Linked DNA regions of Styela clava. The protein of the gene in region 1 purifies or fractionates together with the protein of each later gene. This does not show direct contact. Links are inferred from orthologs where the notes say so. Each region holds a gene or a part of one and is shown on either strand. Other genes may lie near its edges.

What was found. Proteins that work in one complex are often made in the same cells at the same time.
Region 2: the proteins of putative RNA polymerase II subunit B1 CTD phosphatase rpap2 (region 1) and DNA-directed RNA polymerases I, II, and III subunit RPABC1 purify together in Homo sapiens (affinity purification with mass spectrometry; 4 studies listed by BioGRID and IntAct, counting the BioPlex papers as one, with this or other methods). This does not show direct contact. The link is inferred for Styela clava from reciprocal best matches to the Homo sapiens genes RPAP2 and POLR2E.

Annotation. Positions count from the first base shown.
Region 1 is NC_135259.1:4,731,312-4,738,377, reverse strand, and holds the start of putative RNA polymerase II subunit B1 CTD phosphatase rpap2, read right to left. Parts: upstream 3,023-7,066; 5' UTR 2,922-3,022; intron 2,488-2,921; 5' UTR 2,445-2,487; coding exon 2,437-2,444; intron 2,144-2,436; coding exon 2,029-2,143; intron 1,514-2,028; coding exon 1,415-1,513; intron 699-1,414; coding exon 550-698; intron 39-549; coding exon 1-38.
Region 2 is NC_135259.1:2,953,933-2,961,243, reverse strand, and holds DNA-directed RNA polymerases I, II, and III subunit RPABC1, read right to left. Parts: upstream 3,028-7,311; 5' UTR 2,857-3,027; coding exon 2,800-2,856; intron 2,154-2,799; coding exon 1,979-2,153; intron 1,601-1,978; coding exon 1,404-1,600; intron 475-1,403; coding exon 271-474; 3' UTR 41-270; downstream 1-40. UniProt on the Homo sapiens protein: DNA-dependent RNA polymerase catalyzes the transcription of DNA into RNA using the four ribonucleoside triphosphates as substrates.

The DNA of each region.
Region 1 (7,066 bases):
TTGATTTATCAATATTTGGAATTGTGATATCTGGCATTCTGAATGTTAAGAGAGAATATTAAGAAATTATAACGGTTCCTGTGACAGAGCCTTACTCTGAGTGAAGACTATAACACTAAAGTGAAACTATCTAGACAAAAATGACTTTTTGTTCATTTCATGCACAAAACAACTTTCTGATATAGGTTGAAAGAGAATACATTTTCACACAGTTATTGATATCAAAGAGATAATACATAGATAATTTTAAAAACTGAAGTCAAAGGCTCATTCATATTCATGTCACATGTGTGTCATCAAAAATCTGTTATTTTCTTCAATGTAGGCTATTTAATTTACGGTAATTCATTTTTTTGTATGCAAGACACATTATTAGTAATAATATAAATCTTTGAAATCAATAATTGAAGAATAATCAGAGTTAAGTTTATAAAGGATTTTAATCTATTTGCCCATCTTTAGTTCTGTGACTCCCATTAATGCTAATAGGACTCAGCAGAGGTAAACAGGGTAAAAAAATGTCAGTAAATAATGAGAAACTACACTTACAGGTCATGATTTCGTAGCCACAATGGGGTTGATGATATTTGTTCTAGTATATTGGATGATATTGCGTAACACCGATTGCTACAAAATTTCTTCCTTTCAGTTATATCAAACACTTTGTTCTTGTTTATCTTATATTGCTGCGTTGGAATCTATTGTTATCAAGAAATCAATAAATGCATGGTTAATAACAATTTATTTAACAATGCTTAAAAATAAGCAATTTCAATCAACAAATGACCAACTTTAGCCCCAGACACTGGACGAAATTTTTTCACTCCGCCTATAGGTTGAAGAACTTTCAACAGTTCAGAATGCTTAATAAGCCTAATGCCTTTCAGTCGGAAATTTCAACATTGATTACCATCTCTCGACATCTAAATTTTTTTTAATTTGGCACAGATTCCAGAGTTTTGAAATATATCTAAATATATAACGATCATAACATCATTAGCTCTAATATTTGTTTTCGTTTTCAGGATTTTTTTTACTAAGCAACATCTTTTTCTTTTGATCTATATCCAAAAAACACTTGCCACTTTTTTCTATATTACCAATAAGAGAACAAGATAAAATAAGGTTCATATGGATGAAAAGTAAAATATCTAAGACCAAAAACAAGAAGCCGAAAAATTACTAGGTCGGGCTTCTAAATTTTGAAGTTTGACACAGGTTAAAATATTTGCTGATGAAAATTATTGATTATTGTGGAGAAGACCTTTGGTACTTTTAATCCAAAATACCCAGAAATAAAAGAAATCACTGACACACATTGAAGTGTAATAAAATATTTTGAGTTTAATGTACCATGAATATACAAGAAAGCATGCATAATTTAAACAGAAAATAAAACTAGCAATACACTAACTTCTTTGAGCTTGTTTTTGCATAGACAATAACCGCATAAGTCGGATAATGAACGTTCTTCTACAGCATCTGTATAATGTTGCCCGGTGATCAACTTCAGCTAGTATATATAAACTAATATATATAAACATCTAAAATTATCACCCATCTAAATTATGATTGATTATTAGATAGTATATAAAGTTTTTACATATCATGTTCATAAAAATATTTACCTACCTAACTAATTGAATTTTATTTTAGAATTCAAATTTATCATGTGCAAAAGTATATATTCAGGATGTTGGTATTCACAAGGGTGCAACCCTTATATAACATGGGTGCTTCGCTTTCAGACTATACTGCTATAGGAAATAGATGCTTGACAATTGATAAACAGAAAGCAAAAATAAATCCTTTCCTTTACCTAAACATAGCATCGGCATATTTCCCCTATTTCTGCTTGATTAGAGTAGAAACATAAACAAATCTGTAAGAGTTAACGTTATATTAAAGATTTAGAGCAGTTCAAATCAGTACATCTAAAGGATAACAGGTGCTATCATACTGTCATACAAGAGAAATGATTTTTTATTGATAAACTTAAGTTGTGAAATAAGTTCAATTCAAGCATACCCAGGACAAAAACTGATCTTTTTGAACTTTTTCCTCGATGAGTTTTTCTACAATCGAATGTGCTTGTTTTTCTGCTAATTTTCTTTTTTCATATTCTTCTTTTATTGAAGAATGACTGTTAAAATGTATCACAATGAATAATAAATCTTGATAGTAAAAAAATTTTTTAATCAGTATTTCATGCTCTTCACATTTATGAAAAACTAACAATGATGATTTTGGGCGGTTAAACCAGTTTACAATCATCGAATTACATGAACTAGATTAATATTGCCGTATTGTCAAAATAGAAATGGGTGTTATAAATTTGATCACGAAATCCAACACTGAGCTCACGTTGGATTGTCGATATTTATGAATAAATTTATTCATAATATATATAAATGAATAAAAGCAGTTGAAACTCACCTCGCCATAATAATAATTATAATGATCTTTCTAATCAAGCAGCCAGGAAATCTAAAATGATGGCAATTACGGAGATAATATGAAATAAAACAAAAAGGGGGATTTCCCAACCTAGGTCAAAGGGTTCGAATTATTTTTTACTATATGGATAGGATAGGATTTACATATTTATCCCGGGGGAGAGGAAAGCCGATAAGACGGCGTATCCATATGGCGAACCACGGCCTCTCATCCGGTTACCATTCCAAGTCGGGTATGGGATTAGTTTTACTGTATTGTTTGTTTTCGGAAGCATGGACTTGGTAGTAGAGGAAGCCGTAACCGACCAGCGGTTAGTTACGTGAACCACCCAACGACGGCTAGGAGTCCAGCAATCCTCTCGCACAGAACCATCCCTGCATGGGATTCGAACCTGCGAACCCACGCAGAGTAATTAGAGGTGCGGTTGCGAGCGTATTCCTAACATTTAGCCCGTTGAGCCACACCGTCGTCGTGATTTGCAGGTCTTGTAATCGTCGTGATTTGCAGGTCTTGTAGTCGTCGTTTTATTGTGGACACAAAATTGACCTAATGATCTTTTTCAAAATTGTTGATTTCATTTAACTACTGGACCAATGAATCTTTCCCCGACCTTTGACCCCCCAAAAAAATTATTCCTATAGATAACTTGCTCGGGTCATGTGACATGTTTAAGCCGCCATTTTTAGACGGCAAAAAAAAAACATCCGGACCTCGCTCCTGTTGGTTGCAAGTCGTGTCGTGTTATTCGTTTCCGTTTTGCTTGGCTATTAAAAAGGGTTATTTCGTATTGTGCTGTACGTTAAACAACGAAATGGATCTTCAGTTATATTCCATTCATCAATGGTCAGAAGACATTGTTTCGTTAGTTAGCATGTAAGCAAAGGCATATCAGCTGACAAGCGAACGTAATCCTCGCTTCGCTAAGATTTGTTTGCGGGGAATGGTGAACTTCGCGGTACTGGTACCTAGTGTTATAATATAGTGGTGATTCGGAACGCTTGTGTTACTACATTTGTGAATCAGACGTGTCCATATATTTGAGCATGGCTCTCTTGTTCATTTTTTTTTTTCAAATTCCTGTGGGTTCAATGGGATTCGCTTTTCACTCTGAAGTTTTGTTTGATGCCGTGACCAAAATTTAAAAAAAAATGCGCTCATGTGGCGGTTTTCGCAATTGTATTTCAGCGATTTCGCGCTCAGCCATGTCCGGAATTTGGGGTACGATGAAGGTAGCCTACTTACCGGTATTGCAAAAGATTTGATACTGCAGTTTGAATCATTTGGTATTTTGAACCACGTTGATACTGGACGCATAATTCCAATTTCATTGCATTTATAATATTTTCATGATGACTTATTACTAATACGTGGTATCGCTCTTGCTCAAGTGTTGCTTGTTACTTATCGATTTTAATCGGCAAGTATGTTAATAGGTATTTGTCTGTCTGTCTGTCTGTCTGTCTGTCTGTCTGTCTGTCTGTCTGTCTGTCTGTCTGCCTGTTAGATGCACGTGATATCTCACGGAGGCGAGATTGAATCTGCTCCAGATTTTGCATGTGCTTGATTTTGGATGATTTATGTCGTATAATTAGCGAGTTATCAATTAATTAGTGATGGGACACAAGGTGTCATTATGGAGTAAGATCGCTGTTTTGGGGATCCCCTAACTTTCGATCGATAAGTCTTCGGTCTCTGACCGATATTCTCGTTTTGTTTTATTGTTTTTTGTTAGGTGAGAAATTTGGTTTCATCACATATATTTTCGTTGAGGTTTTAAGTGCATTTCGTTGTCTGTTATTTGGATCAATTCGGACTGAAACCTATGGGCAGGGGATATTCACTTGGCCAACACAGACAGCCCCCGAACTCGTAATAGAACTAAAATAATAAAAAAATCGAAATAAAATTATGGTCTAACCCTAATCTGGTACACATACTACGGGAGTACCCTATTGTGTACTTATTGACTTCCGAGAATTTCAGATTGGGGTTCACTTTGTTAACGTAGGTATATTATGGACATCCATACCCCTATCAAAAATATAAATCTACAATTTGTCATCTGGGTATTTGTGCTGGTCTTACATTGCAAAAATAAAATGAATCATATTAGTTCTGTTGATATTCCGCATAACATTGTAATTTTTAATTATTTATAATAACTCTCCTCTTATGTATGACCCAGCCTTGAAATTGAATACACTGGAATAGGTTTCAGAGAGTGTTTGGAATAATATAATAATTAAATTTGACCACTCATATTCTTTTATATTATGTTCAAGCTATGGTGTGAACATAGTAAATGAAGTTTTAATATTCTTTTTTGACATCCTTGATTATATATGTATATATACATCACACGATACTATTCGTTTTATTTTGAATTGGATTTTGAACTTTTTTTATAAAAAAATGAAATTTCTAGAAAAATTTCCATCTTGAAGTGTCATAAACTAACTAAATCTGCATACCACAGCCAATCCTGAAGACTAATAGAATTTCTGAACTTAGTTGTCGTATTTTAATTACATATTGTTTATTTAACTAACAATCGGGGTTACGTGAAACTAACTACCTTTCCTTGCTCTATGCCTTTGCGCAGATGGATCCGTATGCGTATAACGCAAGGATGCTATAGCAAGAGTGAAAATACCTATTCTATTCAATTCAAGAGTCTTGCTGCACACTTACACAAATATATTTCTGTAACGTTTCGTCTGACCGAGGTCAGACTTCTTCAGACAAGCATTTTACAACTATGACAAGAAACGCAATTGCATGCACATAAATAATGGTATCAAATGTTTGGTCTGTTTCCGATAGAGAAAAATAACTAAGATTGGGAGAGAGCCAGAACAATAGGGAAGCTAGATTTGGATTGTACTCAATAAGTATCCCACAGTGTAGTGAGTAATAATTGAAAAGTAAAGCAAACAATTTCGTGCTGTTTTCCCGTAACTCCGTCTGCGGCGTTGGTTGAGTTCATGTAAGTGTCAAGGCTACAATGTCAGATAATGACTTAAAAGTTGAATAAAAATCAAGTATAAGCGCATAACGGAATATAATGTTCAAATTAACATAAATCAGGAGTTTAACCATCTCTCAAATTCATTCCTAGAGGTTCCAATGTTTTGAATTTGTTGATAAAATAAGGTTCTTTTGTTTGTCGGTATGCTTAATCTCGATACAGTTTTTCTAGTCCGATTACCAAAAAGTCGTTGATAGAATGGCCTAATTGACTGAAATGTTTGCCGACTGCGAGATCTTTGTTCTTTTGGTTAATGCTTCTGATGTGTTCTGTAATTCTGTACTTTAAATGTCTGCCTGTTTCGCCGATATATTGCTTACCGCACTTCTTACAGGTTCTTAGATATATGACGTTTTCCGAATTTCAGGGAAATTCTTGGATTGCTGCTTAATTGAATCCCTGTGATGCTGCTAGTGCTTGTTTAGGTTTCTTTTGAATATTTGCAGGTAGTGCATGATTTCCTGTTGCATTTAAAAAAGCCTGTTTCTACTTCTCTTGGTGATTCCGGTTTCAGCTTGGCCCTAACCAGTTTATCTCGTAATGTCGGGCACTTTCTGTAGGCAATTCTGGGGGGTGCAGGGAAGATGTTTTTCAATCTTTCGTTATTGTCTAGTATATATTGATATTTTGAGAAAATTTTTCCGAAGTTTGGTTGATTTGGATGGTAATTAGTAACGAACGGCAATAGTGCGCCCCTTCGTTTTGATTTTCGTGTCAATGTATTGGAGTTCCCTTGTGGTACACGAAATGTACATACCGGTATGGATCATTTTGTTACTCTTATTAATCATTCTTTACTTCTTGAGAAAAAAATAGCTATTTTAATTATCTACTGGACCAATTGCTTTGAAATTACCAGTGGTTAAACATTGAATTTGTCGCTAGAAGGCTATATTTTGTGGACTCTATAAGATTAGTTTTGTGTGTGCGATGACGTTATCAAATATAAAAATTGCGCACCCTGTGGCGGTTCCGCGTCTGCCTTCGTTGCTAGCTGGTGGTCAGGCGCAGTGGTGAAGACTGAGGTACCGGTAGTCCTCTGTGAAAGATTGCATACCGGTACTACTTCATTTTGACTTTCGTGTCCATATCCAAGATCTAGCTAGAGCATTGATCATGTTGTTGTTGTTCTTGCTAATGATTATTTTTATCAATTTGTAAATATGTTGTAAATATCAAATATGTTGCAATACTAAAATTTGAACACATCATTCACGTACGGAAGCACGAAAAAGTTAATATTACTGTGATGGATTCGCAAAAGTACTCGCGCAGTAGTAGTAGCAATAATATTCAGTAATGATATTCAAACTAATTTCAGATTTGTGGTAAGCGATGACTTGATGAAGTCATCAAAATATTGAAAACTATTGCAATTCTAGAAAAATCGTTGTTTTTGACCACTATCGATCCTGGCAATCAGCACATTGTCTCTCCGAAACTATAGGTCAGATTGTAAGTAACTAACGATTAGGAAGTAAATTGAATTTTTAGTGTTTATTGAACATCCAGAAGAAATGATTCGCGGTCATTATATTTTGAAAATAAAATGGATGGGGGTGACTATGGAGAGAAGAGACC
Region 2 (7,311 bases), about 1.8 Mb from region 1:
TACGGTGGGATTCACCTCTAAATGTCAAAAAATAATGCCATAATGTATTTCATTTTATTGTGCGGAATACTCAAATTTTGGTTATCCTGGAATAAGCGCCCTTCACTTTTATGCTCTACCTTTCATGACCCTTTGTTGAAATGTTTACTTCATTCTGAGAACATATGATTGCCAAAGGAGTTTTTTCCCAAACATCAACATTACTTCCAAACTCCCCATTGAGTTAGTCTTCTCAATACTACAATGTGACTGCTATAATTGATATCTGCATCATTGCACCAATCTATATGTTACGTATCTTCCGGCAGTTTCACTTGGTCGCACAATTTTAACTACTTGTCCACGCTTCAATCCAAAATACCTAGCCACAGGATCACCACCCTGAATTCTAGGTAGTTGATGGTCTTTCAATTTATACCTAGCAAGAAGCTCCGCTTTTTCTTCAGGATTCAAAACGACATGCTCAGGAACAAGCTGTAAGAGAAGCATCCATATTATTAAAGGGAATGAAATATCACAACACGATTCGTTACAGACATATTCTAGCTAGAGTCTCTGATCACGTTATTGTCCCTGCCAGGTATCTTTAACTTGCCGGTTATAACCATGCCCAACTTGGAAGGGTAACGAAACACGAAAACTACACGACTATGGAGCTGCACTGGCATTCCTTCTCTCATGAGATAGCATTGACAAATTTTTCAGACATTGAAAACATATTTTCTGTCTGTCGCAAAATATTTCAACTTCTCCGCTTATATAAAAAAATGGGAATTTCCAATCAAGAAAATCTTAATTCCTCTTTTCAAATTACTTTCAGCTGATATGTGGCTTTCTAAAAAACAATTTCTTTGTAGCAAGTTCTCGATAATTCAGTTTCGAGGTTTTAGTATACCAACAACAACAATATTCAAATCCTAAATTACCAGTGTTGAATAGAACAGGATCAAGTCAGTAAAAATTTACTTGTGTCTCTAGCTCAATGATCCTGATGAATGAAAATCGTGAAGCGGTTATAAAAATAATGATTGCTAAATTGTCTACTTAATCCAAAATGGAAGGCGCTACGTTATAAACTACAATGGACACTGTCGCACCAACATCTGAAATTTAATGAATTGTGTGTTGTTGTTTCTATTTGGCTTCATTATGCTGGCAAAGCAATGAAATCTATCAATGCTACGATAGAAAACTAACATACTTGAAACCATTATATGATTAAACATATTCATGTGAGCTTTCTTTGCTGAAACGTAAGACACTCAAAAGCAGAAGACAACACACAGAAATAAATTTTGTGCAACAATAATTTTAATAGAATTCCAAGTAGCTAGCATCTTATATTATCAACAAAATATGCTGATCAGATACATTTGTTGCATTGTAACAATAAAATAACTCACCTCATGCTCAGTTATATTAATCAGCAGCTCTTGCTCAAGGAATTGTTCAAGAATATACTTAGGGGCCATATCAACCAGAGATTGTTTGGCAGACGGCGTCATTCCAGACTGAACAACTATGACTGCTCTTTGAATATTTTCTTCTTGCATTCTTTGACAATACATCTTGATATTTTTTATACCAACTTTAGGTTCCTCTGTGAACAGGAGAGCATATTAGAAAGCTTAATGACAAATCACCTATCACGCTACAGACCTTTTCAGTCACAAGACTGATTGAGGGTATGATTTTGTCTCACACTCATCTCGGGAGCTGTTTAAAAATAATAATTTGCAAATACACATAGATTTATGGGACATTTGGGCATACTTATGGGTCGTTGCTGGTATATGCCGCTATGGTGGAGAATAAATATATATAAATTCACACGTATTTGTATATAACTATTTTTAAGCAACTCACAAGGCATCTGAAAACCAGAACTCAAACTGTCTCATGCCCCCTAGTAGTAAGTAAAGTCTGTGGTTATATGGTACAAAACGTCTGTGAATGATATAATGATATGTAATCATACCTGGAAAAAATACAAACATCTGATCTGTAGGATCATCATTATGTGCAACAAGAACAGTCAACTCTTGTCTAGCTGGGTGCCTTTCACTTGGTTTGTCGCCAAATTCTTCTTTAAATTCTTCCAATGTTTGATCCAGTTCATGTTGAGTTACCAGGTATCCCCTATCATGACACAGCTAGAAACACAGCAGTTTGCGTCAAATTAAAAGGTTACTTTTACTTATACCCAGACTTTATTTGTTAACATTACTAGCAAATGAAGAATGAGCAAAATGAATATAAGAGATACAGAGCTTGAAAAGACGTAACATTTGTTGGGACTCGATGAAATAGACAAAATGTGCACAGTTTTTTTTCTCATACTGTCATACTCAATCAACAAATAATAATGCATGCATGTATTTGCCTAACTCTGTCCTGACTATGATTCACGAATCCCATATATCAGCGACTATTCATGCTCAAGTACTCAAACAATTTATCTTTTCAACAGTATTCAATATTATATTAAGAATGTTACAAACATATACTATGTGCAGGGTGTCTCAAGTCAAAAGTAAGTATACAGTTTTAATTTTGATTTGCTTTTCAGGTACTCATCATAGAGCGTTCATTTCTTCAGAAAACAGAGTATAGATAAGTAGTAAAATTTAGATATTGTTTGCATCTTCATCAACCTGTCAACCCACAGAATGACAATGAGGGATGTTGAAAAATGCAAACGATACCCAAGTTTTACTACTTATTCATACTACAGTACTACAGTACTATATTTCTGATATCTGGATATATGTATACCGTACCATATTATATCTTATCTACCTGCATCACTGTTTTTCGAATTCTCCATAGCCTGTATGTTTCCGATTCATCATCCATTACACAAGATGTTCAAAGTTACAATAGTCAGATAGTACCTTGAAGTAATATAGCAAGTAGGGTACCTTAGAGGCTGTTTGATAATAATTCTGGTATTGAAGTTAAAGTGTTAACTTACAGACTTAGGTTACTTTTTATGAAATGGCATATAAAGTCTGCAAAAACAGAAGCAGTAAGGTTATTGCCGGTACGGTAACTTCATGACATACGGTACCGGTATAGGATTTACAGAAATAGGATTTACATATTTTTCCGATGAGAGGAAATGCGATACGACTCAAATCATATGTTGAACCAAGGCCTCTCGTCCGGTTACCAGTCCATGCCAAGAACACTGCTGTACTGGAATAGGTTTAGTGTTTAGTCAGCCAGTTATTCAAGTTCTTATGCACAAACTTGATGGCGGAGGAAGCCGTAACTGACCAGCGGTTACCGTACGTGAATCACCTCACAGCCCTTTGCCCTACGACAGCGAGGAGTCCAGCAATCTAGAACCTTCGAATACCATACCGGTAGGCTGCAACGGCCGGCACCAACTTGCCTAATGTTCTGTGTATTCTGATGGCTCAGAAAAAAGCATCAAAACAATATTTTATGAAACCGATATTTTCTATTCCATGTCTGGATGCAAAATTAACATGAGCAAATGCCAAGCTTTGTACCTGGGGGGAAACAATCATTGCCAAAATTGTCCTATGAAAGATCGAGGACTTGAGTGGAACTCAAAAGATTTTAAATTGTTGGGTATTTTTATATTTGAAAATGATGCTGACCTTTATACTGTGAATATTTTGCCAAAACTCCAGTATAGGGCAACAAAGATTCGACCCTATCTGCGTGTCTACACTCCCGTGTTATTGAACACACGTTAACAGAGTGTAACTCCGATCTTGACTCCTTCAGAGGTCAAAAAGCACACAATGTATTGAATGCCAATTGTTATATTGTAAAGTTGCACAATCGAATTGATCCAAATAACGAATTACACTTGAAACCTTAAAGCAAGTATATGTGATGAAACCAAATTTCTAACTAACAAAGAACGGCAAAGACAAGCTACACTGAGCGAGAAAAATATATCATAAAGGAAATGAATTGGGACAACGACCTTGTTTCAGGCAAATAACATGCACTGCTAACAATAAGTGGTGAAAATATTACAATACACAGTAACTATTCTTATGTACTTGCTACACCAGAAAATGAAAATGATTGCACAATTATGGTCAAGAAGAAATCTTGATTTCCTTGAAAAAATTACGGTAATCAAACCCCTTATGTTGAGTACACTAGTATATGTATTATCCACCTTACCAATGAGACTTCCCAATAGTTTGTTCTATGGAAATGTATATCCATTTGGAATATTTATTAAAAACATTAAGTCGAGATGTTTAAGAGATACTCTGGGATGGGTTAATATGATAGATATTGAATCATTTTTTATTGGTCTTAAATTAAGATGGGTTAAATTTTTAGTAAATGATGAATTTGATGCTTCGTGGAAATCTATAGAATTTTTTTTTCTAAATTTATATGGAGGAATGAATTTGTTCTATGGAAATGTATATCCATTTGGAATATTTATTAAAAACATTAAGTCGAGATGTTTAAGAGATACTCTATGCTATTGGCATATTTTCAAATCTAAAGTTGTTACTGATGTAAGTCACTTGCATGAACCACTGTGGTTCAATAAAAAGATATCAAGTAAAGGGAAAATGTCATATATTGAAGATTGGAATAGAAAGGGTATTTGTTTCATTGAAGATATCTGTGATTCTAAACACCAAATTGCAATGTTTCCAATCATTTTTCATCATTATTGCTTTTCTGATTTTTATAATGACATGCAATCATATTTAAAAGTTTTATCATGTATACCCCAAGCATGGAAAAACATTTTAGTAAAAACCCCTCAAGCCAATCCACATCTTAGTCTATTGGAAGATATTAGAAGCATCAATAAAACTTCCAGATACATATATGATAAGCTTCGTAATGTAAAAATCTTGATGCCTAAGGAGAAAATAGAAAAATGGTCAAATGAACTGTGCAGAACTTGGATAATTGGTTGACGCAGTATGAAAAAGTTTTTAATTGCACTATTGAATCGAGACTTCGATCCTTCCATGTTAAACTTGCTTTGCGAGCAGTACCTACAAATGACCTATTATTTAGGATAAATAAGACATCAAGTCCGAAATGTACATTTTGTGAAAGGAATGTTGAAACCATGTTTCATTTATTTTATTTCTGTGAATTTGTGCAACAATTTTGGAAAATAGTTAATGCACGGCTAACTGTTGAATATGGTTTAAATCTTAATCTGACATATAGAGAAATTTTAATGGGGGTAGAGCAAAACCAAGGTATAAACTGTGTTTTATTGAGTGCACGATATTATATCTATAAATGTAAACTACGTAATGAAAGGCCTCAATTTGATCAATTTTTATATATGATAAAAAGTATATTTAACTGTGAAAAAATTATTGCAACTAGAAAATGTAAACTGTTGAACCACATTAAGAAGTGGAAAGTTATCATGAACTCATTTTTGGACACGTAGTGGACATAACGATCGTTTCAATATTATGTTGTTGTTGTTCTTGTTCTTGTTGTTGTTCTTGTTCTTTGACACGTTTTTAAAAAGTCGCTTTTCTCTTCGAATACTGGACCAATTGCTTTGAAATTTTCAGTGGTTGAAGATTAATTTTTTCGCTAGAAGGCTATTACTTTTGTTTATTCTTAAATTTTATATGAATCCTATGAGATATGATATTTCATACAAAATTTCGCGGTATTTATTTTTACTCATGGGAACACTGTTTTGCACTTATTTCAAGCGGTTTCGCGATCGATTGTCTTGCTCAGTACTACAGCTACTGTAGGTCGGTACTGGTAAGTTGCCATACCGGTGCCGTAACGCAGTGAAATTGACTTATTCCTTCCGCGGTATTACTAATGCTGCAATGCAAGTTTTATAGCCTATCGTATGCGGAACGGAATATCAGACCTACAGGTTCGGTACTGGTACTGGTGCCGGTACCGGTGTCTTACCACAATGAAATTACCGTAACTTATTCTTTCACGGTCCTACCAGTGCAGTAATGCAAGCGTTGTAGCACTTGTAGCCTACTATATTTGTTTATTTTGATGAGATTCTACTGGAAACAACATAAAATTTGAAAGAGAAGAATTGTTCTGTGATCAATTATCTGTCCTAAAGTGTAAATAACATAAAATTTGCAAGGGAACAACTGTTCTGTGATCAATTACCGTATATGGCCTACAGTGTACAGGTAAGATGCTGGCTGACTGCTAACCGGTACTGGTAGCTCAGTACGTAAGTACGATACTGGTACTGGTGCCGGTACCGGTGTCTTACCACAATGAAATTACCGTAACTTATTCTTTCACGGTCCTACCAGTGCAGTAATGCAAGCGTTGTAGCACTTGTAGCCTACTATATTTGTTTATTTTGATGAGAGTCTACTGGAAACAACATAAAATTTGAAAGGGAAGAATTGTTCTGTGATCAATTATCTGTCCTAAAGTGTAAACAACATAAAATTTGCAAGGGAACAACTGTTCTGTGATCAATTACCGTATATGGCCTACAGTGTACAGGTAAGATGCTGCCTGACTGCTAACTCAGTACCGCTTGACACGTTTTTAAAAAGTCGCTTTTCTCTTCGAATACTGGACCAATTGCTTTGAAATTTTTAGTGGTTAAAGATAAAAATTTTCTCCAGAAGGCTATTACTTCTTTTTTCGCTATGACGTCATCAAAATTATGTGACTCTACGTGTCCATATATTTGAGCATAGCTCTCTTGTTTTAAAGTGCAATTGTGTTTATGTGTTATATCGTGTGGATAAAAAGTGATGTTTTTAATAATAATAATAAAAAAAAAAAAACTTGCCTAATGTTAAACACATGGGCTTTGGTTAAACCATTGAGGTGTTATATACACCTCAATGGGTTAAACAAATTCGTGGACGCCATCTTGTGCCATATTTCCCAAACGCGAAACAATGCAGTCTTATGGGAAATTTTCGTCGTGTTGTTGTACCGAAGTCCGCTGTTATAAGGACTAGAAAGAAACTGAAGGGTGGATTTTGAACTTTGAGATATATGCTATCTGAATATATAACGCAATTAAGAATAAAAAACAATCTAATGCGTTAAATATGACCCCAAACACAGCGTAGAACCATTTTTGGTTCTTTTTTATAAAGATTTTACAGTGATACGCTAATCTGAGGCAGTAAAATGTCTCTGCAACAATCCTACAATATCATTTGTTCTTCTAGCGCAGCTTGGAGCCGAGCAGTAAGGCATTATTGAGCTTGACAGACGAAAAATGTTAACCAGAAAATAGAAACGGCCATTGGAGCACGAATAAATACAACTTTACATCTGTGACGTCATAAGGAACGCCATTGTCAA